7 linked regions of the Rattus norvegicus genome follow. The protein of the gene in region 3 interacts with the protein of the main gene of each other region in a pairwise test. Links are inferred from orthologs where the notes say so. Each region holds a gene or a part of one and is shown on either strand. Other genes may lie near its edges. The genes, in order: Golga1, Usp2, Vps52, Nfkbib, Ppp1r18, Tead4 and Ddx6.

Evidence for each region.
Region 1: the proteins of Vps52 (region 3) and Golga1 interact in binary tests that used the Homo sapiens proteins (3 or more experiments, as listed by UniProt). The two-hybrid records come from large-scale screens. The link is inferred for Rattus norvegicus from reciprocal best matches to the Homo sapiens genes VPS52 and GOLGA1.
Region 2: the proteins of Vps52 (region 3) and Usp2 interact in binary tests that used the Homo sapiens proteins (3 or more experiments, as listed by UniProt). The two-hybrid records come from large-scale screens. The link is inferred for Rattus norvegicus from reciprocal best matches to the Homo sapiens genes VPS52 and USP2.
Region 4: the proteins of Vps52 (region 3) and Nfkbib interact in binary tests that used the Homo sapiens proteins (3 or more experiments, as listed by UniProt). The two-hybrid records come from large-scale screens. The link is inferred for Rattus norvegicus from reciprocal best matches to the Homo sapiens genes VPS52 and NFKBIB.
Region 5: the proteins of Vps52 (region 3) and Ppp1r18 interact in binary tests that used the Homo sapiens proteins (3 or more experiments, as listed by UniProt). The two-hybrid records come from large-scale screens. The link is inferred for Rattus norvegicus from reciprocal best matches to the Homo sapiens genes VPS52 and PPP1R18.
Region 6: the proteins of Vps52 (region 3) and Tead4 interact in binary tests that used the Homo sapiens proteins (3 or more experiments, as listed by UniProt). The two-hybrid records come from large-scale screens. The link is inferred for Rattus norvegicus from reciprocal best matches to the Homo sapiens genes VPS52 and TEAD4.
Region 7: the proteins of Vps52 (region 3) and Ddx6 interact in binary tests that used the Homo sapiens proteins (3 or more experiments, as listed by UniProt). The two-hybrid records come from large-scale screens. The link is inferred for Rattus norvegicus from reciprocal best matches to the Homo sapiens genes VPS52 and DDX6.

What each region holds. Positions count from the first base shown.
Region 1 is NC_086021.1:43,208,820-43,212,319, forward strand, and holds part of Golga1 (golgin subfamily A member 1), read right to left. Parts: intron 2,291-3,500; coding exon 2,216-2,290; intron 1,380-2,215; coding exon 1,282-1,379; intron 1-1,281. UniProt on the Homo sapiens protein: Involved in vesicular trafficking at the Golgi apparatus level. Involved in endosome-to-Golgi trafficking. Mechanistically, captures transport vesicles arriving from endosomes via the protein TBC1D23.
Region 2 is NC_086026.1:53,331,370-53,334,869, reverse strand, and holds part of Usp2 (ubiquitin carboxyl-terminal hydrolase 2), read right to left. Parts: intron 2,735-3,500; coding exon 2,623-2,734; intron 2,525-2,622; coding exon 2,414-2,524; intron 1,842-2,413; coding exon 1,777-1,841; intron 1,601-1,776; coding exon 1,497-1,600; intron 1,415-1,496; coding exon 1,334-1,414; intron 1,229-1,333; coding exon 1,150-1,228; intron 957-1,149; coding exon 849-956; intron 512-848; coding exon 391-511; intron 1-390. UniProt on the Homo sapiens protein: Hydrolase that deubiquitinates polyubiquitinated target proteins such as MDM2, MDM4 and CCND1. Isoform 1 and isoform 4 possess both ubiquitin-specific peptidase and isopeptidase activities.
Region 3 is NC_086038.1:4,926,959-4,930,458, reverse strand, and holds part of Vps52 (vacuolar protein sorting-associated protein 52 homolog), read left to right. Parts: coding exon 1-57; intron 58-332; exon of another isoform or gene 333-429; intron 430-661; coding exon 662-762; intron 763-858; coding exon 859-991; intron 992-1,084; coding exon 1,085-1,142; intron 1,143-1,693; coding exon 1,694-1,827; intron 1,828-2,270; coding exon of another isoform or gene 2,271-2,312; coding exon 2,313-2,468; intron 2,469-2,575; coding exon of another isoform or gene 2,576-2,626; coding exon 2,627-2,745; exon of another isoform or gene 2,746-2,779; intron 2,780-3,050; exon of another isoform or gene 3,051-3,057; coding exon 3,058-3,181; intron 3,182-3,343; coding exon 3,344-3,439; intron 3,440-3,500. UniProt on the Homo sapiens protein: Acts as a component of the GARP complex that is involved in retrograde transport from early and late endosomes to the trans-Golgi network (TGN).
Region 4 is NC_086019.1:93,178,588-93,182,803, reverse strand, and holds the start of Nfkbib (NF-kappa-B inhibitor beta), read left to right. Parts: upstream 1-1,416; 5' UTR 1,417-1,675; coding exon 1,676-1,854; intron 1,855-4,216. Other genes in the region: Sirt2 (NAD-dependent protein deacetylase sirtuin-2), read right to left, coding at 432-478, 1,232-1,247. UniProt on the Homo sapiens protein: Inhibits NF-kappa-B by complexing with and trapping it in the cytoplasm.
Region 5 is NC_086038.1:2,882,330-2,885,829, reverse strand, and holds the end of Ppp1r18 (phostensin), read left to right. Parts: intron 1-1,436; coding exon 1,437-1,644; intron 1,645-2,652; coding exon 2,653-2,672; 3' UTR 2,673-3,460; downstream 3,461-3,500.
Region 6 is NC_086022.1:163,199,343-163,202,842, forward strand, and holds part of Tead4 (TEA domain transcription factor 4), read right to left. Parts: intron 3,480-3,500; coding exon 3,424-3,479; intron 705-3,423; coding exon 565-704; intron 1-564. UniProt on the Homo sapiens protein: Transcription factor which plays a key role in the Hippo signaling pathway, a pathway involved in organ size control and tumor suppression by restricting proliferation and promoting apoptosis.
Region 7 is NC_086026.1:53,845,749-53,849,248, forward strand, and holds part of Ddx6 (probable ATP-dependent RNA helicase DDX6), read left to right. Parts: intron 1-458; coding exon 459-588; intron 589-1,497; coding exon 1,498-1,644; intron 1,645-2,924; coding exon 2,925-3,019; intron 3,020-3,500.

The sequences.
Region 1 (3,500 bases), on a different chromosome or scaffold from region 3:
ATGTACTCATATATAATAAATGAATAAATCTTTAAAAAAAAAGAAATTTAAGAATATTAAGAAAGCTAAATGTCCTTAAAAAAAAAAAGAAAATGAAATTTACATAAAATTCTCAGACACAATACAGGGCACTCAAGTCCTTTACTCTTCTGTGTCTCCAAGGAACACTGCTGTTACTTCTTGAGAGTGGGCAGCTAGGATCTACTGAGTTGGGTCACATGGCTGATCTTTAGACATTAATTTACTGAACGTCTTGGGCAGTAAGACCAAGAGTATTTGGTAATTGTCTGCACTCTTGCTTGATTTTCTAATATGTATTATGCCCTCTGGTGTGTGACAAAGGAGAGGGGATATTTGACTCCTCATTCACAAAACAAAATTCAAGGGAAATAACACTGGTACAAAAGGTCCAATCATATTAGCTGTAAAACAGTATGTACTATTTTTTGATTTTTTTTTTATATTTCTATACATTCACACACCATAGTTATCTGTTGAATACTAGTAGATGATGCTTTTATATTTATACTTCAAAACAAGCCAAGCATTTATCTACAGGATTATCACTATGAAACACTGACGTTTACCCTAATTTAAAACACTACTAACTATATCAAATATAACATACCCCACAGTTACTGTGATATTATTTTCCCTTTTACATGTTTTGTTTTGTAGTAACTAATTTATGTTTTTGGAGACAGGGTTTCATATAGACTGGGCTAGCCTTGAATACCTGATCCTCCTGTATCAACCCAAGTGTTGAGATTGAAAGCATGCACCACACCTGGCTTATTTTTCCTTTTATTGCCATTCATGTAGCACCTTGCCATTGCTGTTTCTATGGGGATCAAAAGTTCCCTTCTGTCTATACCTGATTTTGGAGAAAGGGTCAGAAGGGCTATGTGAACTGCTGTGAGTAATGACCAGTAATTATATTGGAACAGGTAGGTGCTTGGAGGTGTAGGGTTGAGGACAACTTTTTAGAGGGTGAGATCTTTTTTCTTATTTGTAGGTTCACTAGTAGATTATGGATACACCACTTTCCATTTCTATTTTACAAAGATACATAGAGAGAATAACTCTCTCACATTCTGGACACATTTCGTGATTAAACTGTCAAGTCTGATTTCCTAAGAAAAGGCCAAATGAATCCTTAAAGAACATAAATTCCTTTTCTTCTAGGTCAGAAAGACTTTTATCAGGTCTGTGTCATGATTTTTAAATTGGGTCCCTAAGTGAAATCTTTTCTTAGCCTTGGGCAGTACCACATTTAAATACCTGGTCCTTCCTGGCTAATGCCAAAGCCAGTCCTTCTGCCATTTTGGCTCTGTTGGCTTGGAATGTTTCATTCTGTTCTTGAAATTTCCGCATGGAAGCTGTTAACAAAAGGCTCTATTTGAGATATGGAAATACTTCAGAAACAGCATGATGAACAGCTCATGTGAGCAGTTTACAAATGTCACTAAATGGAACAAGGAAGGTCACAGACATAGATTATGACCCCGTGAAAAACTCAAATTTCTATGACCTTTCTGCCCTGGTAAGGGTCTGGGTCCTTCCTTTTGCTTTCTATAATAGTAAAGATATCAAACAGTAGCTTTTTGAGTGGTATCATGACAAACACTTAAGGTAGGTAGGCAGAAAACACCAAGGCTTCTGTGACGTGACCTCTTCACCAGAATTGAAAAATGAAATAAAAATCAAAGCCAGTAACAACAACAACAAAGTTTTATTTAGTTTTCTTCTGACCTCCTGTAGCACACTTTTCTTGGATGACAATACACAAGGAAAACATGAGTTGGGATAGGTAGGTCAATTTAACAAAATGTATGTCCATTTTATTGTTGATATAGTGATGTCAGAGCTGCTTTATAGTCAATATAACAATATGTTATGAAACTATGTTGAAAATATTCTCCTAGGTTAGACCCAAGGGCCAGGTACTAGATTGTACGAAAACCTAAGGGCAATCAGTAAGTGGGTCAACTAGATAAAGACAAGTACAGACGATCCTCTCTAAAGTAGTATATCTACAAGACAACACAAATGTGTTTACACTTGCTAACTTTCAGTCAAATGTCACATCAATCTTATTAAAAACAGTATAAAATAGAGATATGAGTTCTGATGAATATATATAACAATATATTAATTCATTTAAAATGCTAAAGCCTAAAAAAGATTAAAGAAAGCAGAAAAAAAAAATACGTACAATCCTGGTGTTTTTCTAATGCAATTTCAAGCTTCTCTTTTATCTTCTGCAAGTTTCGGACCTGTTCAGCATAGTCTTGGGTGAGGAGGGTGATGCACATACCAGGAGTGGACAAACATCAGGAAAGGAAGTTAATTAAACAAACAAACAAATAAACAAACAAAAAAAGTGAATGAAAATGATGATGATTTTCTTAACCTGAAAACCAGTCCTGTTAAGAAAAGCTAGGTAGAAAGCCTCCCATTAACAATGAATGACACAGGCAAATGGGAATATTACAAACTTTCCATGGTATAAACAGTGAGTACAAACAGGTAGATTTGTTTAGCTTTGACAGAAAACAACAATTAGGCTAGGCCTGGTCATCAGAAATGCCCTGGTATAAAAAACCCACCATCATCTCCATTCTTCTGTTCTAAGTCTCAGTGTTCCTTTGGTGGTTGGAATAAGAATGGACATAGACACATATATTTGAACATTTTGTCGTCAGGAAGTTGGACTATTTGAAAGGATTATAAGGATTAGGAGGTAGGACCTTATTGGAAGTATATCACAAGGGGTGGGCTTGAGATTTCAAAAGCCAGGTGGAGTGAGTGAGTGAGTGAGTGAGTCAGTCTGTCTGTCTGTCTCCCTCTGCCTATGGATAAGAATGTAACTCTCAGCTACTGCTCCAGCAACTGCCTGCATGCTACCATACTCCCAGCTATGATGATAATGAACTAAATTTCTGGAACTGTAAGGAAGCCCCCAATTAAGTGTTTTCTTTTATAATAGTTGCTTTGGTCATGCTTCTCTACATACCAATAGAACAATGACTTAAGACAGTTCCCATTCCCTGTGGCCCTTAGCAGTATGGCAGATCAAGGGTAATCACGAAAAGCTCACTTGCAACCATACAAGTGAACAGCAGTGGTTAGGTAAATAGCAAACACCTTAGCATAGAACTGCCTTTATGGTGTAGGTGCTTAATCTCTAGATTGGTGTAGGTGTTCCCTTTCTATATAGGAAATGAGTGGTACATAGGTTACCTCAAAGGTGAAAGAATTATCTGGGGTGCCAAAGAAAACAGTATGCTATAATATAAAAGTAGAGAGTAGTTAAAATCTCAACTTTGCCAGTTCGTAGCCAAGAATCTTAAGTAAATTGTGGATCCAGAATATTACTTATTTTAACTGGTATTAATAACATCTATTTCTCTCTCTTTTGGGGACAGGGTTTCTCTGTGTAGCCCTGGCTGTCCTGTAACTTCCTCTGTAGACCAGGTTGACTTCAAACTCAGAGATCC
Region 2 (3,500 bases), on a different chromosome or scaffold from region 3:
GTCCTCTGAGGAAGGGTTTTATTATTTTTAACATGTGTCTGTGCTGTGTGTGTCTGGTGGCCAATGGCAGTGAACCCCTGTTCTCTGCAACAGCAGTGGGAGCTCGTAACTGCTGAGCCATCTGCTCAGTGCCAAACCCTTTTTGGAAACGGGGTCTCCCATAATCAACGCTGACTTCCAACTTTCTAAGTAGCTGAGGATGACCTTGAAATCCTGACCTCCTCAGTATCTGGTTACAGTCATGTGCCATCATACCTATTTCTGACAGTCTGGGAAAGGGCAGCACACACACGTGTATGGTGGAGCTCTTGGCCCCGGCTTTTCCGTCCATTCAAGATGGAAGCCCTGTGAGGTGGGCTGTCCAGGAGCCCTGCCAGAATCCCATCTCACCTGGAGTCATTGAAAGTGTGCCATTCGCCCGTAACCGGACTTCGGCAGTAGGCTGTATAGTGACCTCCCATGGTGGTTCCGGAGTGATTGGACACAGCATACAGGTTGTAAACAGCATGGTCTGAGGCGGTAACACAGGTGTTAGGCATTCCTGCCCCAACATCCCTTCCCTTCCGCCCTTTTATTTCCCAATCTTTCCCCTGCCTTAAAACCATAGCTTCTACTAAGAGAGAAAAAAATTGGTTTATTTCCTCAGAGCGTATGTGTGTGTGTAGTGTGTAGGTCACAGGGACACCTTGACAGAGTCAATTCTCTCTCTGTGTGGGTTTTGGATCCATCTCAGGCCATCAGTACTTTACCTGCTCACATCCTCAATCTCTTGACCTTTTCCTAACTCTCTTGCTTCCTGCCCCTTTTCCTCCCGCCTTCCTTCTTCCGTCCTGCCCAAGTATACTCACTGGTGTTTTCTGAAGCAAATTCTCTCAAGTCCAGGTCTCTTAGTGGGAAATTCACAAATGTTGTGAGCTTGCTGGTTCGTATCCTGGATTCTGAGAACCGCTTCAGGTCTGTGATTGCTCTGAGTCAAGGACAGGAAGCATGAAGAGACTCCTTGGAGAAGCAGCTCTTCTCAGGAAGCAGGATCGCAAACAAAGAAGTCTATCGAGTTTTTTTTTTCCTTATGCTGCTTCCCTCCCCTTTTGGTCCCTTGTCATCAGTCACCCCAAAAAGTCAGCTCCCCACCCTGGGGGTTAAGGATACGGAGCACCAAGATCTTTGGGAACCTCTGGACAGAGAACTTCTTTATACATCGTTTTCTGGCCCGGCAGCGGCAGCATGTCTGAAAGACAAGACAAACAAGGATAGAAAGAGCTTAAAGCCTGAGGCGGTGAGACTTGTGGCCCTTCCCCACAAGGGGTACTTCTGTCACTGTGGAGTGACTTACTGGTTTCTCATCCCCATCCAACACATCCTCTTTGGTGAAGAGCCTCATACAATCCATTAACGTCACTTCAGGATAGCCTCTCTGCAAGGAAAAGATCCAGGTTAGTGGTCACAGCCTCACTCAGCCTGGAGAGAGGCTGGCGCAGGGCTACAGCTGAGCGTACCTTTGCAATGGGCAACGAGAGGTCCCAGAAGGGATCGAACACTGTAGAGCAGTAGCCGCAGTCGGTGCACGTCAGGGAGCTCTTTAGCTGCCCAACGAAGAGATCTGGGGAGAGGAAGCCAGGGCATGCTGAACATGTGAATGCCTGTCTTTCCCCACCCACTCTGGCCTTAGGTTTGAGAGCCACTGGCAGAAGCAGGGTCCCCTGGGATAAATGATCCCCACAGCTTCTCAAGCAAAAGCGGGTGAAGAAGCAGATGTTTTCTGTTCAGTATACTTACCCCCAATCCGACTGTCTTCCCTTTCTAGATACTTCCTCCACATCTGTCGCCCTTTCTCTTCATCACTGGGAACCACAGACAGGAAGACAGCTAGGTCAGAACTCAAGCCCTGGGAGGCTTACGGGGCTACCATCTAGCATCTTCGTATATTTACATGTATGACTTCTGTGGTGCTGGGCATGGAATCCCTGGCCTTGCTCCTGTTCACACAACCCTCCCAAGCTGCAAATCCTGAGTCGAGGTTCACCTGAGCCAGGATTAACCCAGGCTGCTCTCAAGTTCATCATCCTTCCTACCTCAGGCTATCTATCTATCTATCTATCTATCTATCTATCTATCTATCTATCTATCTATCTATCTATCTATCTATCTATCTATCCAACACATGTACAATGCCCAAATAAAAAGTCTGGGCTTAAAAACAAAGCAGGGGGTTGGGGATTTAGCTCAGTGGTAGAGCGCTTGCCTAGCAAGCACAAGGCCCTGGGTTTGGTCTTCAGCTCCGGAAAAAAAAAACAAAAAAACAAAAACCAACAACAAAGCAAATCTGATTCTCCCCAAATCAGTACTTGAAGAGAAGTAGGTACAAATGCCAAGTTCACAGAGACGTCATAGCGGCAGCGCCTCTCTTACTTACGGGAGATGATCAAGGCTCTCAGGGCTGGGCTTAGGCCTTGCTGCCACCCGGTTCACCTCGTTGTGGAGGCCATCCAGAAGGAAACGGAGGAATTCCTGAGCATCCTGCTGACTGAACCCAAACAGAGTGAATGAGTGGGTGAGCAGCACCCACCGGACCCCGCTTGTGCTACCACACACCTTGGGAGGACATGCATGTCAGGCCCTTACTTATAGCCAACGAAGCGTGGTGCATATCTCTGGATCTGGGTCTTGAACTCAGATGGGCTCACCACATCATTGGGGGATGACGTCCATATGGTCTGGATTAGTTTTGCAAACTCTGTTGGAAGGAGCCATTAAAGAGGGTGGAGAACAGGTGAGAGAGGTCCTCTGTGTGGCACTGGCTGTCCTGTACTAGTTCTGTAGACCGTGTTGGCCTGGAATTCAGAGATCTGCCTGCCTCTGCTTTCCGAGTCCTGGGGTTAAAGTTGTGCATCACAACTACCCAGCTGAGATGTTTTCTTTTTTTAAAAAGTTATTTTAAATTGTGTTTGTGTGCATGTGCATGTGTAGGTGTATGTATATGCTTATGAGTGCCCAAAGGGGCCACAGGCGGGAGCTGGCTCTGGAAACCAAACTCTGGTCCTCTGTGAGCACACAGGCACTTTGGCAGTACATGCCTGTGATCTAGTTAAGGTAGGAACATCAGGCCAGCTTTGGCTACATGAGACTGTGTCTCAAAACCAACAAAACAGGTTGGGGATTTAGCTCAGTGGTAGAGCGCTTGCCTAGCAACCGCAAGGCCCTGGGTTCAGTCCCCAGCTCCAAAAAAAAAAAAAAAAAAAGTTAAAAAAAACCCCAACAAAACAGAAAAACAAAACCAAGACAACCAACTGAACCAAGCATCCCAAAGATCACCAACCAATGAACAAGTAAGAGGGAACACGGAAACGAGTCAGACATGATGTTGTACACCTTGATCCCAACGCCTGGGAGGCCAAAGCAGGAGAACCGCAGCTGTGGCTCCAACCATGCTTACACAGGAAGGCTGTGCTTCAACCACAGATTCTGACACTTGAGCCCCAACCAATAGGCAAAGAAAGAGA
Region 3 (3,500 bases):
AGAGGCACGGCCGCCTGTGCAGACGTCAGAGGCGTGCTCGACCGGCTCCGGGTCAAGGTGGGGAGCGGCTGCTTACAGTCAGCTTCCCAAGAGCTCCACATTGCTTCCCGCTATGTAGTGTCAGTGTCAGTCCTCCCCTGAAAATCAAAGGAGGCTTGCAGTGTGGCTCCATTGGTAAAGCACACAACCCTAGGTTCCATCCCCAGTGCCTCCTGCGTTGGCAGGATGGCACGAGTCTGTCGTCCTAGCACTCAGGAGGTGAAGAAGAAACGGAGTCTGGGGCCAGGCCCCAGATACATGAGTGAGACGCCATCTCAGAACAAGCAGTGCTTGCACTGGCAGTGCGGGTACTAAAATTAGAACAACACAGAGAAGATTAGCATGGCCCCTGTGGGATAACATGAAATTTATAAAGCCTTCCATATTTAAACAAAACAAAAAGCCCTGAAAAAATAAGGCCAGCATGGCGATGCACTCACCCCCAGCATTCAGGAGGCAGAGGCAGGCAGACCTCTGTGAGTCCCCGGCCAGCAAGGGCTGCTCAGAGAGACCCTGTTTCCATAACCAGAGCACTAATGAAGTATTCTTCCCTTACCTTTATTTTCTCCTGTGTCCCCTCTCTCACTTCCCACCTCACGGCCTGTCTGTACCCCACATCCAGGCGGTGACAAAGATCCGTGAGTTCATTCTCCAGAAGATTTACTCGTTCCGAAAGCCGATGACCAACTATCAGATCCCCCAGACGGCCCTGCTGAAGTACAGGTGGCCCCCCCGGGATGGGCACAGGGTGACCATGAGCGAGCCTCTCAGCCTCCAGCGTGGGCATCCAGGGTGTCTGACTCACCCCGGTCCTTCCAGGTTTTTCTATCAGTTTCTGCTGGGCAACGAGCGTGCTACAGCCAAGGAGGTCAGGGATGAGTACGTAGAGACGCTGAGCAAGATCTACCTGTCATACTACCGCTCGTACGTGGGGCGGCTCATGAAAGTGCAGGTGGGCCAGGCCAGAGACGGGGGGAGGGGGGAGGCTGGGGGGGCTGGGGGGGATGTGGAGAGTGATGGCTCAGCTCTCTGTTGTTTTCTCTAGTACGAGGAAGTTGCTGAGAAAGACGATCTAATGGGTGTAGAAGACACAGCAAAGAAAGATATCCTTTAGAGGGGAGCCTCACACCGGGCTCACGGCGGGGACGTCCAGCTCCAGCATGCAGAGCTATCTTCTTTTCCTTCCTTCCATTTCTTTTTCTTTTTCTTTTTCTTTCTTTCTTTTTTTTTTTTTTTTTATAAGTACACTGTAGCTGTCTTCAGACGCACCAGAAGAGGGCATTGGATCCCATTACAGATGGTTGTGAGCCACCATGTGGTTGCTGGGAATTGAACTCAGGACCTCTGGAAGAGCAGTCAGTGCTCTTAACAGTCCAGGGCTGTGTTTTTTTTACCTGTTCTGTGTTCACACCTTTGAGGATGTGAAAGCCAGAGCTTCCTCTCTAAGAAGCACATGCCATTCTGACAGTTTTTCACATTTATTTCAGAGGGTTTGGGAAGCCTCGACAGCCATTATCAGTGTCAGGAGAAGCAAGGCTCTGGTTCTGGAAAAGGCCTTCCAGGCCTTATTTAGCTTCTTGGGATCCTCAGGCCTTGGCTTGTTGGGCCTAGTGCTGTCCATCTCGTTTTTTTCCCTGACGCGGATGTGGCTCACGATTCTTCTCGAAGCCGTCCCTGCGAAGCAGGAACACCATCTTTACCCTGGGCACCCGTGGTGCTGTCATCTCACCGGCCGAGCTCGAGGCCCCCATCCTGGTGCCCCATACTGCCCAGCGTGGAGAGCAGAGGGTATGGCGAGGCGATCCCTACATGGCCTGGGATCAGTTCCCTACCTACGTGTTAGTTTGGGGGTCCCTGACCCGCTGTGATGCGGGAGGGTTAGGAGCCATGGAGAGCCTTGCAGAGGGAGACTGGCTGTGGGTGTGACTGTTAGGGGGCAACAGTTGCAGTGGGTGTAGGGGCAGCAGCAGCCCCTGGGGAGGGCTTTTCTTGTGACCTGTGTCCCCTCTTCAGTGCCTGTATGGGGTGCTCCTCCCTGCCTGGAAGTTGGGTATGTGGTCTTGTGAGCTCGCATTCCTAAGCTGTGCTGAGTCTCCATACCCACGGGGTCGGTGTGAGACCCATCCATGTGTCTCTCTGACCTGTAGTATCCGTTTGAAGCCCGTCCGTGTGTCTCTCTGTCTCGGTAGTATCCATTTGAAGCCCGTCCATGTGTGTCTCTGTCTTGGTAGTACCCGTTTGAAGCCCATCCGTGTGTCTCTCTGTCTCGGTAGTACCCGTTTGAAGCACTCTTCCGCAGCCAGCACTATGCCCTCCTTGACAATTCTTGCCGTGAATATCTCTTCATCTGTGAATTTTTCGTCGTCTCTGGCCCGGCTGCCCATGACCTGTTCCACGCCGTCATGGGCCGCACGCTGTCCATGACGCTGGTGAGCTTCTGACTTCTGTGCCTTTGCCCTCTGTCCTCAGAGCTCAGCAGCAGCCAGTGGGGTCACAAGTGCCTTGTCCCCAAAGAATTGTACGTGTTTGCCTACAGCCACTCGAACAACAGCTAACGTTCAGTTGTCTGCCTGTTGCTGTGCCACAGAAACACCTGGAGTCCTACCTGGCCGACTGCTACGACGCCATTGCTGTTTTTCTCTGTATCCACATCGTTCTCCGGTTCCGCAACATAGCAGCAAAGAGGGACGTCCCTGCCCTGGACAGGTCACTGAGCTCCCGTCCTTGGTGCATGGAGGCGGTCAGCTTTTTTTTTTTTTTTTGGTTCTTTTTTTCGGAGCTGGGGACCGAACCCAGGGCCTTGTGCTTCCTAGGCAAGCGCTCTACCACTGAGCTAAATCCCCAACCCCAGCGGTCAGCTTTTTATCTAACACAACTCCACCCTGACTCTTCCTCACCCTTATTCCCTCCCATCCGTGTGTCCCAGGGGCAGCATTGGTGTCGGGCACACCCACTCGCTCACCCATGGGCAGCCAGCACCCCTAGCCAGCTGACCTTTGACTCTGATTAAGCCTGCAGATACTGGGAGCAGGTGCTGGCCCTGCTGTGGCCTCGATTTGAGCTCATCCTGGAGATGAATGTGCAGAGCGTCCGCAGCACTGACCCCCAGCGCCTCGGGGGGCTGGACACCCGGCCCCACTATGTAAGGGCAGGCGAGGGAACGAGGGGCGGGCAGTCATACTAACTGGTAGGCTGGGTCAGCTTGGGCAGACAACTCCTGTCCTGACTGGGGCAGGAGCTGCAGAGGCAGCTGGGGTTATATGTGACAGGCAGGCAGGTGTGAGCCTCCCTTTCTTGCTCCGAGATCACACGCCGCTACGCCGAGTTCTCCTCCGCGCTTGTCAGCATCAACCAGACCATCCCCAATGAGCGCACGCTGCAGCTGCTGGGACAGCTACAGGTGGGACAGCTGCAGATGGGACAGCTGGAGGTGGGGACAGCTGCAGATGGGACAGTTGCAG
Region 4 (4,216 bases), on a different chromosome or scaffold from region 3:
CTTCCCCAACACTGCCCCCAGCTGTGCTGGGATTACAGGTAGCTGACACCACAGCCAGCTTCAGTACTTTTATGAGCCCTAGAGGGTCCTTTCCCCAACCCCATACTCCCTGAGTTTGGGGATCAAACTGGAACACTGTCTTTTCCAGGTCTAGCACAAATGAGGTTCAGAAGGGATTGAGGATAGGCGGGGCAACAATAGGAGATGAGGACAATATGGAAGGGAACCAGGGGTTGAGGCTATACATTTTCCTTGACAGTCCCCAGAAGCCGCCATTCTCCCAGGAGCTGTACTAATCCCCAGATGGGTTTAGGGATCAGGGCCATAAGCCAAGGGCCCTTGGGTAAAAGCCTTCCCTTGCACCTCCCCCAGTGCGGCATGTGGAACCACGTCCATTTCTCTCCTTCCCTCCACCCTTTTCCCCATCTCACCTGAGCCTCCTGCACCTTCCCTGCCTGGTTCTCCAGAGGGTCAGAGGCTGGGGAGGAGGGGGAGCAGACGTGGTTACAGTGGGGGGAAATAGTTAAGCAGATGAAGGGTTCACAGTGGTGGAGGCGACAATAGGACCCACCAACCTAATTATCCTGGAGTCATGGATGGTAGTAAAACTATTGGAGATGGGGAAAGGCATGTTTTAGAGTGGAGGAATGTGTGAGGAGGGGAAGGTTTGGGAGGAAAAAGCAGGTGAAACGGGACTGAAGGAAGGTTTCAGAGTTAAGCAGGATAAGGTAGCGAGTGCGAGCCAGGAGAATGAGGGAGGGCTAAGTTTTTCAAGAGATGTTAAGTAGGGATACTTCTGCTGAGAGTTGAGTGTGGGAGAGGAGATGCAGTGAAGGTGGGAGGTTTAGGAGAGGCACAAGAACTGAAGGAATGAGATAGAAAGGGGCCGCAGGGGTCCCCAAACATACTATAGTTGCCCTTAACAACAGGCAACCTTAGCAACCGGGATCGTGGTAACTTTGGTCCTTAGCAACGAGGGTCCTCAGCAACCAAAGTGCGAGAAACGCGATCATTCAAAACTTTGCAAATGGACCCTTAAATTTCACAATCCAGAAACCCACCAACCTAGCAATATCGACCACTTAGCAACAGCCCTCCGAATCCCACTCCCTTCAGGCAGCCTCTGTCTCCCACCCCACCGACCTGCCCGCGGGCCCCGGGGCCTGCAGCCCAAAGCCAGGCCCCGGCGCGGCCCGACCCTCCCACCCTCCCACCAGGGCCCCTAACTCACGGTCCGGCTCGGCCATGGGAACGGGGTGGGGGCTCTCGGGACTGTCACCGACTGCTCTGTCCCGTGACGGCAGCGGAAACAAGAAGGAGCCGAGAGAGGATAGAAAAATACAACTCCCGACAGGCAACGCGGTCCCGTAACCGCTTTCATACGGTGCTCCCCTCACGTTATCAAACTACAAATCCCAAAAGGCTTGGCGCCGGCGGCCATATTAATAAAGGGCGTCTGGAAAATCTGGGGAAACTCAGCGAGCGAATGTCCATCTCATTATTCTGATTGGTTCTGGTGCAGTACAGAGGCGGGGTGTGGCTATTTAACACAGTTTGATTGGGTATATGAGGGGGCGTGTTGGGGAATTCCCAATAGGGCGGAAGCGCTGGAGCTCTCGGCAGAACCCAGCGTCAGGCAGGCGACCGCAGGGGGCCACCCGAGGTGGCAGGGGCAATGGCCGGGGTCGCGTGCTTGGGGAAAACTGCAGACGCCGATGAATGGTGCGACAGTGGCCTGGGCTCTCTAGGTCCCGACGCAGCAGCTCCCGGAGGACCAGGTCTGGTCGCAGAGCTTAGCCCAGAGCTGTCTTGGGCGCCCTTAGTCTTTGGCTACGTCACTGAGGATGGGGACACGTGAGTAAACCTTAAATTACCAATTTACCCTAGGGATCTTACCTGAGTCTCCATTAGCCTATGATTTCTGTGGCTTCTTATCTTCTCGTTCCTAACTCTGATTTCTGATGCTGGACTTCCTGACCCATAACCACCAATCACTAAATTGTGAGACTAGTCCGTTTTCACTCACAGTCAAGTGTCTCAACTTTTCTGAACTCTTAAATTTGAGCTTACGATCCCCAAATCGGGTCTGAACCTTTCTGACCACTCTAGTTCCCACATCTTCTGACCTCTTGCTTCCAGATGTGGTCTTTGGTCTTTGGCTATTCTTGTATAAGCCAGATTTTGATTTCCAAAATTAATTCTTGACCCTGAGTCTACGACGCTGACACATCCAGCACTGACCCTGCAATTGAGAAACCGAGCTACTGGGTGTCATGGGCCTCACAGAAGTTGGGAGGCAAAGGCAGGTTGATCTCTGTGAGTTTGGGGCCACCTGATTGAGATGCCGGCCAGCCAGAGCTACATAAAATTTAGAAGCTCGATTCTATGAAGATGGATTCATCTGTTAGCCAAACGTCTCTCCCTAACTACCACCTTTCAATCCCTGGTTTTAGTTTAGCTGAATGTGGTGGTACACACTTGTCATCCCAGCTCTTAAGGGGCTGAGGCAGGAGGATTGCTAGTCTGAGGAGAGCCTGGGAAGACCGGTATCAAAAAGGAGGGATAAGGAAAAGGAGGAGAGGGAGCCTGGGGGGGGGGTGTGGAGCAGGAAATGTTGATTAGTAGATAAACTGGGGAGAAGGGATGGCTGTGGTGACAGTGTGTGTAAGGGAGTGTACCCGGGATTTTCTTGTCCTTTGTGCTCATTGCGTATACCCAGTGACTCAGTGCCTGACCCATGAGGGGAACCCAATAAACACTCATCTTAAAGAGCCAGGAGTAGTTTCCTTAATTTTCTAATTTTTCACTTTCTACTTTATTGGCCCTTGTTCCTTTATTGTTTCCCTCTGGTTATTTAATTTTTGTAATTTCTTTATCCTTTTTTTTTTTTTTTTTGTTCTTTTTTTCGGAGCTGGGGACCGAACCCAGGGCCTTGCGCTTCCTAGGCAAGCGCTCTACCACTGAGCTAAATCCCCAACCCCCCTCTTTTTTTTTTTTTTTTTGTTTTGTTTTGTTTTGTTTTGCTTGTTTGTTTTTGACAGTCTTGTGTAGCCCATGCTAGCCTTCAGGTTGTAGCTGAGGATGGCTTTGAACTTTTCATTCTCCTGTGTCCACCTCCCAAGTGTGTATCACTACATCCAGCTCAGGGATGTGCGTGTGTGTGTGTGTGTGTGTGTGTGTGTGTGTGTGTGTGTGTGTGTTCGCACTAACCACATAGGCTAGACTAGCTGGCCTGAGAGAACCTTGTCTCTTGCTCCCCACCCTCCTCCTCCTCTTTGAGACAGGGTGGCTGACCTGGAACTCACTATGTAGACCAGACTGGCCTCAAACTCATAAAGATCCATCTGCCTCTATGTCCTGAGTGCTGGGACCAAAGGTGTGCGCCTCTGTGCTCTACTCCAGGGATCTCCTAGTGTTAGGATTATAAATACTTACAACCACACCCAGCTTTTTTTTATGTGGGTTCTGAACTAAGGTCACTGTGCTTTACTTACAAAATAGTTCCCCAGCCACCCACTCCACCCCCTTTTTCGTCAGTGTCTTACTATGTAGCCCAGGCTAGCCTTGAACACTACTGTAAAAAATAATAAAAATAATTGATTCAGCCATTTAGCTCCCAACAAGGACTCTGGCACTAATTATTCATTAATAAATGCCTTGGCTACAAGCTTTGGCTCATTCCCTGGCTAACTTATAACCTATTTAACGCATTCAAACTATCCTATGTCTTCCACGTGGTTACCTTTCCTGCAGTCTCCAGCCTGCCTCTTCCTTAGCGTCGTCTTTCTCAGTGTCTCAGTGACCCCTCCAGTGCCTCTCCCTGCATCTCCCTTTTTTCCTCACCATTTCCCAGAATTCTCTCTCTCTTCCTGGCAGTGTCCCACCTGTTTCCTCCCTCAGCTCATTGGCCATAGGCTTTTTTTTATCGACAGGTGTTGCCTTTAAGAAATTCTGTCCACACTATGAAACTTGTCTTTGGTTTATTTTATTTTATTTGTTTTTTGTTGTTGTTGTTTTTTGTTTTTGTTTTTGTTTTGAGATAGGGTTTCTCTGTGTAGCCCAGACTGTCCCAGAACTCTTTCTGCAGACCAAACTGGCCTTGAACTCAGAGATACATTTGCCATTACCTTCCAAATAATTTACTTTATGCGTATGACTGTTTTACCTGTGTACATGTATGTGGACTGTGTTTGTGCTTGTTGGAGCCCCTGGAACT
Region 5 (3,500 bases), about 2.0 Mb from region 3:
CGTCTAAACCTTTCCGTTGTCATCCAATCCTGAGTCAGGAGTGCCCATCTGACTTCATGATTGTTTGTTTTTAAATACCTCTGCCTCACAGCAGTGAAAGATAGAGACCCGAATTCTGCCTTACTTACCTCGTTGCCATGGCAAAGTCTCTTTTTTGGGGTGTGTGTGTGTGTGTGTGTGTGTGTGTGTGTGCTTATTTTTAAAGTCAAGGTCTCTATGTAGATCAGGCTAGCCCCAGACTGGTCACCTGATTCCATCTGAATGTCAGCTTTTACTCTCTTGTATTTCATGTGCATTGCTGTTTTTGCCTGGGTGAGGGTGTCTGAGCCTCTGGAACTGGCGTTGTAGACAGTTGTGAGTCGCCATGTGGGTGCTGAGAATTGAACCCAGGTCCTCTGGAAAGAGCAGCCAGTGCTCTTAACCACTGAGCCATCTCTCCAACTCCTCACCCCTTTCTTTTTTTTTGTTTTGTTTTTTTAAGATTTATTCATTTATTATATATAAGTACACACTGTAGCTGTCTTCAGATACCAGAAGAGGGCATCAGATCTCTTTACAGATGGTTGTGAGCCACCATGTGGTTGCTGGGAATTGAACTCAGGACCTCTGGAAGAGTAATCGGGTGCTCTTAACCGCTGAGCCATCTCTCCAGCCCACCCCTTTCTTTTTTTAGACAGAGTTTGATCTGCATGGAAGGCTAGCCTGGAATTTGGTGTAATCCTCCTGCCTCATCTTCTCTCTCTCTCTCTCTCTCTCTCTCTCTCAAAAATTATTTTTTTTCAAGTTTATTTATTTACTCTATATAAGTACACTGTTGCTGTCTTCAGACACACCAGAAGAGGACATCAGATCCCATTACAGATGGTTGTGAGCCACTATGTGGTTGCTGGGATTTGAACTCAGGACCTCTGGAAGAGCAGTCACTGCTCTTAACCGCTGAGCCATCTCTCCAGCCCTCTTGAACGCTGAAATCGCTGCCTCGAGGCACCACACCTGGGGTGCAGAGAGACACCTGACATAACACACTGTGAAGGTCAAAGGTTCCAGAGAGGCCTGGCTACAATCGCTCTCACAGCCCAGCCAGTGTTTTGCAAGCCTGTGTACGTGTACACTGCAAGTATGCCTGGAGCCTGCAGAGGTCCCGGAACTACAGTTACAGATGGTTGTGAGTGCTGGGAACTGAACACAGGTCCTCTGCAAGAGCAGCGAGTGCTCTTAACCACTGAGTCATCTTCCCAGCCTCTAAGTGTTGTTTTGAATGATGCCATTAGACGGAATAATCAAGATGTAAAGGAAAGCCGAACCCCAAATGGATGGAAGGGAAGGTCTGCGGGGCACCTAAGCCCAGCCCCGCTCCACTTGCCTCTGGTCTCTCAGCCCTCCCTGGATCCCCTAGTGATGAACTTGCCTCCTCTCCCCTCTCTTCCTACTCTCAGCTCAAGATCTCCTTTAGTGAGACAGCACTGGAGACCACATACCAATACCCTTCCGAGAGCTCGGTACTGGAGGATCTAGGCCCGGAGCCTGAGGCCCCCACTGCCCCCTTAGCAACGCAGCCTGACGATGACGAGGAGGAGGAAGAGGAGGAGTTGCTTCTGCAGCCCGGGCTCCAGGGCGGGCTGTGCACCAAGGCCCTAATCGTGGGTAAGCGGCTGCGGCGTGGTTGGCGTAGGGCGCCCCCTGGTGTTCATGGCTTTGTGGTACTTTGAAGGAGCTTGGTCCAATTTGCTACATCTGCTGATTCCTGAAAGCCAGCACACTTGGAGTCTCCAGATTTCAAAACCAGAGCTCGCTCGTTATCCAGATCTCTAATCTGGTTAAAAATACCCGTGTTGGGTCAGGCGGCATGGAGTCAGAATTCCAGCTCGTCTGTTACTTAGTTGTGATCCTGAATCAATCCGAGCTCGGTTTCCGTTTACCTTATGTGTGGCGTGCGCGCCTGCACTCCCAGATCCCAGAGCATGCTAGGCGGGTGCTCTGCCGCCGATCGGTATCCCCAGTTTTCATTTATCATCCTTTAAAATAAAGTTAACAGTTGTGTGCTGGGCCTCCGGGTGTGTAGCTCAGCGATAAGATTGCTGCCTTGAGCTGAGAAAAGTGACTCATGCCTGTAATCCTATCACTAAAGCGGGGGTAGATCCGCCTAGTCTACACAGTGAGTTCCAGGGCACCCTGGACTATTACAGATCGAGACCCCATCTGAAACGAACAAACAAAAAGGTTGTGTACCCCGCCTTAATTGATAATAGCAAGTACTTTTTTTTTTTTTTTTTTTTTTTTTTTTGGTTCTTTTTTTCGGAGCTGGGGACCGAACCCAGGGCCTTGCGCTTCCTAGGCAAGCGCTCTACCACTGAGCTAAATCCCCAACCCCAAGCAAGTACTTCTTGAAGTTGTTTGAAGACTTGAGTAGATTTTTGTAAAGCACCTAGGTATACATAGCTAGGTATTAAATTACTTCACCTTTGCTGAGACGATTGTGAAATTAAACAAGATGCTCAGCACAGAATCCAGTTAACCGTGATGATGACCACTGTTCCACAGCCAACATGTTACAAAGACTTCTCTTATACCAGCCACTCTTCGGTTCTGGGGATGCGTGGGGAGGCGGAGGCCCTCTCCGCTTCTCTGGATTGATTACCTCTTTTCCTGCAGATGAGTCCTGCCGGCGGTGACCATCTTCGAGTTTGGGCATATACCTCTCTCCTTCTCGCACCTGAAGATTCTGGAGCTTGGATGATTCAGAGCCGACAGACATGGCAGTGAGCCCGCCTGGCAGGGAAGGGCGACAAGCGAGCGAATTCGGACTTGCTTTTCCCATCCTGTTCCTGGGGCGGAGCCGGTAGCCTAAATTGACCCCTAACCCAAAGTTCCCGGTGGGCGGAGCATCCTCGGTGAGCTAAGAGTGAGCATCAAGTCCTGGGTTGGAATTCAGAATTTATCTGGAATTGAGATGGAGCACCTCCAGCCTCACAGCCTTCCTTAAAGCTCAGCCACTCTCCGGGGATCCCGCTCCATCCACGAACACCCCCTTTTCTAGGTCACTACCCCTTTGTTTACAGCTTCCCTCTTGATCACAGCCTGGTTTACATACCCACTAGCTCCCAATCCCACCTGCAGAGTCCCAGGTTTACAAGCCATGCCTACCCGCGGAGCCCCTGTGGGATCCTCCACCTTCCCTTTGTTTCATTGTGAGTGACTTGGGAAGGTGTGTAACCTTCTTCAGCTTTGCTCAGTATTACTGTGCCTCGGTTTCCCCCAAGAGGGCAGGCTGGGGATCCTAATCCTGAACCCCATGAAAATTATTTAATTCTGTTCCTCCACGTGGTTCACATTGAATTGAATTGCAGTGTGGGGGGCGCTCAGGAGGCGCCTCGCTTCTCCCCATTGCTCCTTGGTCAGCTGCCTGGTTTGTTTCGTTTTTTGTAACTTTCCGTAATAAAATGGAGCTCTTTTCAACTCTCTTGCTGTCTTCCTTTTCTTTGTTTCTTCTTCTTTTTTTT
Region 6 (3,500 bases), on a different chromosome or scaffold from region 3:
TAGTGGAGGGTGGGGGAGGGGCGGGGTTGGGAGGAAAGGCCACTAGAATAAGAGGAGAAATAAGAGATGGGGGATTAGCCTGAGAGAACAGAAGCCAGGAAGGCTTGAGGTCGAGATATACAGAATGCAAGGGAAAGAACGGAGTAAAGAAGTGGGGGGTGGGGGAAGGTAATGACACACAGGACAGTGAGGGGAGAAGAAAGAACGAGGACTCTATTAAAACCTAAGGGAGAGGGGAAAGAAAGGGAAGGAAGCCAGAGGAGGTAGGGAGGGTGGAAGGTGAGGTCTTCCGTGGGGGGAGAACTTCCAGGGTTGAGAATTCATTTAATAAGGTGTGTATTAGGGGACCTACTATGTGGGCAGGGTCTCCATTGACAGGGGCATATACATAGCAGCAGAGAGACAGAAGCTGCAGGATTCTAGGCCTTTCTTTAAGGACAAGGCCTATGGAATTGGTGACTTATTCTGAGCCTGCAAGACCAGGGCGTCACAATGGTGACAGTACCCCTGGGATTAAGATGGTCTCTCTTGGGAGTTTGACAGTTGGACATGGTGGGGACTTACTGTGTCAGGATCTTGCTGGCGCTCCAGGAAAGCGGAGAACTCCAACATCCAGAGCTTGGAGCTGGCTATGCTGCGGCCTTGCCATGGAGGAGCTGGCGGTGCAGAGGGTGATGGGGTGGGTCCTACAGGAGACTCAAAGCCTACATGAAGGGAGAGTAACACATGGAGCCTGCCCCTCCTTGTTCTCCCTGCTTGTATTATCAGTGGCAGGGCAGAGCCTGTGCTTGATCCAGATCAGTGGACCAGGCCCATGCTCAAGGCTGACAGATTCTCAACAGCCCAGGCTGCCTGAAAGCAGTTAGGGCAGGCAGGATTCTTGCCCTAGGGTGATTTCTAGTCCAGGTAGGAAGACAGCCAGCTGAAGCAAACAGCACAGTAACTCAGAGGCCCTGGAAGCGGGATCCATTTCCTGGAGAGCATTGGTTTCTAAGAAATGAATGCAGATCTAGGCTAGTGTTGATGAAGTGTGCCCCCAGCACCACAGAAGACTTCTCGATGCCCCTGAGGCCAACCAATCAGGAAGATGAGGCTTAAAGAAGGTGTGAGGTAGCAGGGCAGTGGTAGCCCGCACCTTTGATCCCAGCCCTCAGGAGGCAGAGGCAGGCAGATCTCTGTGAGTTCAAAGCCAGCCTGGTCTACAGAGCTGAAAGAGAGACAGTGGGGAGTAGGGGCCAGTGGGGGATGGGAGGGATGAGGGTCGAGATGGGGGAGGGGGGGTGCTCCAAGCTGGGAACCAGCAAAGGCAAATGTGGAGGCCTGGGAGCCAGCTGAGGGAATCTGGAAAGCCACCCTTTAAACAGCTTTTTGGATTGTGGGAAATAAGGCTCTGTAGTGGGGCAGGGTTGCTGGGGAACAGGATGGATTCTATTCCCAAGTCAAGGAAAGCCACTGGCTGAGTTAAACTTTGGCTGAGAAACGGACGGCTTTGCAAATTTTTCCCCCTGGTAATACGAGGAATGGAACCCTGCCTGGAGCAAGCACTTCGAACCAAAAAATTTCCTGAAAAGCAGCTGTGTCTGGCTGGGAACAAAAAACTCCTGGAGGGAGTTTCTGTGTCTTCACAGACGGACAGGCCAACTGGGGCGTCAGAACAGTGGAGAGACGGGAATTTCACGTCTCAGAGGCTAATGACTTTATTCAGGGCTAGTTGTGGTCTTCTTGAACAGCCATTCCTTACCCCGCTCTGTATCTGAACTAACACCACATGATAGTAATTAGAAACCTCTCAGAAGTTATTAACTTAGCAGAGCACTAGTTTCTGCCATTCCGAGAGCTAAGAGTGTCAGCCCAGAGCATTTTAGACCTATAGAATATCTCCCTGAATCTTGTTGTACCTGCATACGCTGGTGGATCCACCAGAGTAGTTCAAGGTTGTCTTGATTCATGACTTTCTTTGTTCAGTAAAAAAAATCTAAAACCCTGTGAACCCGTTTCCACGTTGGAACATGGAATTTGGGGTAACCTAAATCTGTGTTCCCAGGCCATGGTCTCTCATAACGGCTCCAGCATAAACCATCCTTTATTCCATTTAGGATGGGAGCTGTGGTTTTGATGCTGTTAGCACTCCAAGCAAGCCTGCCATTGCTGGGCAGATTTTCATTCCTTCATTGTGACGGAAGGGTGGCACAGAGGGAGACACAGTAGATTCATGACCCACGCTCTCCTTCTGGGAGTCTGATGACCTCTAGCACCCTAGGCAGAAGCAGTGGGCACAGCACAGTGTAAACAAAAGAAGGAAGATCCCACAAGGATACTCAGATACATGTGTCCGAGTACAAGCAGAAATGGGAGTGATGAACACTTCTGTTAGACAGAGGTCCACAGAGCCCTGGCTGGGCAAGCAGTGGGCGCCTAACCTGGGTGGCGACAGGTGAGAGGATCCAAGGCCCAGGAGGAGCAGTCTAGCCACAGCCCAGAGGCAGAGCAGGGAGCACAGTGGACAGGACCAGGGAGCAGAGTAAGCTGAGTCTCAGGAGTCCAGCAGATCTACTGCAGAGCTCAGAGCTCACCGTTAAGGAACGATGGGGCCGGGAAGCATCTTAAGGCCAGAAATAGCATGTCGAGAGATGCTTTGGGAATCACGGGGACCAGTGAAGAGGCGACTGCAGTAATCTGGGCAAGAGTTAGGTGGATCTGAGTGCAGACTGCATCAACATGGACAGAGGAGAGAGAACAGGAAAGAGGACAGGGATATGAGGACTGGACCCAACTCAGAGATGCTCCGTATAGGGGTGAAGGAAGCAGTGAGTGGGCACCACGAGTGCCAGGAAAGCCTGAGGGGCCACAACCAGAGTGGCACAGCTGGTCACCCTTCCAGGAAGGCTGAAAACCGTGGCCTGGACTGCAGTGTGGAAAGGGTGAGGAAACCTCCTGAGAAGGTAAGGGCTGAAGCCTGGGGAAGGGCACAAACCAGCAAGCTGCTTAGGTATCAATGTACACTCCAGGCATCAGCGTCTCCTGTGCTAGGGAAGGGTTAGGCTCAGAATCCAGTGCCCCACAGCTCCCAACTGAGAAGCAGTAGGTAGCATTCCAAGGGGAAAGCCCGAAGAGCTAGCAGCACATGTGCCCTAAGAGAGTGACCTGGGCACACGAGCACCTCCTTCCAGTTCTGTGTCCCAGCCAGCCCTGTGCACAACAGGCAAGCATCTGGCGTCACCCCGGAACACCACGGGACACCCATGAGGCATGGCCGCAGCATGCCAGCTAGAGGCAAGAAACGTGGTAGAGCCAGAAAACTGGGATGCATGATCTGAACACGTGACAGCATGACATCTAGCAGTGATAGGAACAGGACTGGGGTATTGGGGACCTGGGCCCTGAGGCAGGAGGCAGAGGGTGTGACATAGGGAATCTACCTACCTGGCAGAGGCAGCGGAGGCTGGACAGCGTAGGTGTTTTGAGAGAAAGGTTTCACACTGCAGGAGAAAGGAGAAAGA
Region 7 (3,500 bases), on a different chromosome or scaffold from region 3:
ATTTACTATGTGGCCATTTTCTATTTCTAACAAAAATGTCTTTGTTTGAGGACTGTTTAACCCTTTGAGATTCTTTTCTCTAGTACATGCACTTTTATTTATTTGAGGCAGGGTCTTTTCTCTAGTAGTCCTGGCTACCAAGACCAGGCTGGCCTTGAACTCTAATTTACCTGGTTAAAGATGTGTATCACCACACCAACACCCAGCTCACTAACTTTTCTGTTACGCTGCTATTCAGCTAATGTTTTTCTGTTAACAGTTTTAACAAACTTTTAGTTCAAAATGGTATTAATGCTTACTGGTCCTGCTAATCCACTTGGGTCTTTGCCATTCATGCAAGATACATACATACTACACTTCAAAGGAGTACCAAGGTGGGTGGTATTCTTCGGTGTAACTTGGAAAAGAATCTGGTAACATTGTATTTACATGTAGTTTTGCATCACCTTGTCTTTTAGGAGGAGAGCATTCCCATTGCTTTATCTGGTAGGGATATCTTAGCTAGAGCAAAAAATGGAACAGGCAAAAGCGGTGCCTACCTCATCCCCTTACTTGAACGGCTGGACCTGAAGAAGGACAATATTCAAGGTTAGCTGAATAGAGGGGAGGGGCTGCAGGGAAGACTGTCTGTACTTGGAGCTTTGTAGGTTTTAATCTTGGTCAGAATTCATTTAATCTACTGTCTTCTTGCTATATTTGGCTTAATTGTTTAAAAAATTTTTCCCCAGCTTTTAAAGGGAATTTCTCAACTTCAGAGTACTTTTTTTTTATGATTGATAAAACAGTTGAAAAAGGGTTCGTGTGAGATAAGCAAAGTAAGCTTTCTTTAAAGCCAAACTGATGAGAGGCTAAATGAGTCACTGCTTACCTCCAGCCTATGCACCTGAATTCCCTTGTGGGAACTGTGTAAGCAGAGCTCTTTGTAGAAACAGTAAATGCTTCTGTCTGTAAACCCTTGAGTTTATCAAATTTTAAGAGCTCAGAGTTCCTCCTCTGTGTAGTAAATGTCTTGGTCAGCCGAGCCTACCAGGAGAACTCCAGAGGCAGAGTAAATCAGGACTATGGGGAAGCGGCCTGTCACTGGCAAGGGCCTGGCCCCCATGTAAGCCACAGCTAGAGTTGGGGGAAAAATTAACAGCTTAGAGAGTAGAAAAGAAGCAAAGTTCTATAGTTGTATCTGGAGTCAGTTCATACAATTAAGGTTTTGCCTCTAAAGTTTTTCTTAAATTTTCCAGTTTTCCATTTATAAATCTCTCTCCTCTCATTGATGAGCATAGAACCTAAGCAGCACGCGTTGACTGCTTAGTATTTAGTGACTCTGAGAGAGTAGTGACCCTTCTGTCAAGCACATGCATCCTTTAAGACTGGTGTGTTATGTCTGTTATGCCCGTGTGTTAGGTGAACTGCCTCAGTGAAACTGTTTTTATAGCTTCTTGAACTTCTAAAAGATAGCATGTTCTCTCTTCCCTCACTCCTTTGTTCTTTGATATTTTTTAGCAATGGTGATTGTTCCCACTAGAGAACTTGCTCTACAGGTCAGTCAAATTTGCATCCAGGTCAGCAAACACATGGGAGGGGCCAAAGTGATGGCGACCACTGGAGGAACCAATTTACGGGATGACATAATGAGGCTTGACGATACAGGTAGGAGATTATTAAGGCCACAAGGCTGTCTGATTGTAGCTACAGATGCCTCCTTATTTCTTTTTCAGACTTATTTGTAATTATGTAGAGGTGGGGTATGTGGTTATGCACACCTGTGTGCAAGTGCCTGGGTGAGGGTGTGGATCCCCTGAGGCTAGAGTTATAGGCAGCTGTGCACCACAACGTAGGTGCTGGGGATTGAACTTGAATTCTCTGCAGGAGCAGCACGAGATGAGCTCTTTTTTTTTTTTTTTTTCCGGAGCTGGGGACCTAACCCAGGGCCTTGCGCTTCCTAGGTAAGCGCTCTACCACTGAGCTAAATCCCCAGCCCCTACGAGATGAGCTCTTAACCATTAAGTCTTTTCTCCAGTCTCCAAGGGTTCCCTTTTAGGAAATAATTAAAACTTTGGTCTGTTTTGTTTGTTTTGTTTTTTGAGACTGGGTTTCTCTGAGTAGCCCTGGCTGTCTTAGAATTTGCTTTGTGAACCAGGCTGGCTTTGGGAACCTGCCTCTGCCTCCCAAGTGCTGGGATAAAAAGCATGTGCTACCACTGTCTGGCACTAAAATATGGTTTTGTTTTGTTTTTTGTTTTTAAAGATGTATTTATTTATTATATATAAATACACTGTAGCTGTCTTCAGACACACCAGAAGAGGGCATCCAATCTCATTACAGATGGTTATGAGCCACCATGTGGTTGCTGGGGATTGAACTCAGGACCTCTGGAAGAACAGTCAGTGCCCTTAACCACTGAGCCATCTCTCCAGCCCCTGAGCTCTATTTTTTAACTTGCACAATTTTGTTTTTAGTGATCAGTCTTTTTTTCCCCCTTAAAACAGTCTGTGGGGTTGGGGATTTAGCTCAGTGGTAGAGCGCTTGCTAGGCCTGGGTTGGGTCCCCAGCTCTGAAAAAAAAGAAAAAAACCAGTCTGAGCAGCCTGGCCCAGATTGAACACACGTCTCCCCTGCGTTCTGGCTGTTACTTCTTGCAGATGGCTGTAAGATGGGAGTTGTGAGTCCCTCAGTTGGAGTTTGTGGTTTGGGAAGCTGGCCCACTCACTGAAGAGACGAGACAAGTATTGTGGAGCTCTTGTGAGAAGAGACAGAAATACACGGCCCACAGTTCATCTTTGTGCCTTTTTGTATTAATTTGGGTCTCTATAAACAGTATTTATGATACTAAATACGTCTTATAAAATTAATGTGTTTCTTTATCCTAGATTAAATTAACAAGAATGTATATGTTTTCTGAAGTTTTTTTTTCTCTGGGAATCTTTTTAGTGCATGTGGTGATTGCTACCCCTGGCAGAATCCTGGATCTTATCAAGAAAGGAGTAGCAAAGGTTGATCATGTCCAGATGATAGTATTGGATGAGGTAATGTTTGTTCATTTGAAAGGACTCTTCAGTACTCCTCTAGCTTTGCTTATAATTTTCACTGAATAAAGCAAACCTTGAACTGGATATGTATGATAACAAATAACCAAGCCAAGCTCAGTTTAAATCTTTCTACTTAGTGTTACATTTTAAAAGCTTGTAAGGGATCTCTCTTAACCCTTTGTTTTGCATTTGCTTCCTAATATTGGTTGGTTCTTTGTGTTTTTTATGAAATTTGTTACTTCTTTAGTTTATAACCTAGTATCAATGCCTTTTAAAAAATTACTGATCTGAAGCCAAATGTTTTACCTGGGATGTAGAGTCAGATGTCTGTCTTGAGTTTGAGAGCTGCAAGTTTCAGGCCAATCAGAACTACACAGTGAGACTCTGCCTTAAAAATGAACAAAAACTACTCATGTGTGTCTGGGATGTAGCAGTGCTGTGTACAGTTAGCCTGGCAGCATTGGTGCTTCGGTGTGCG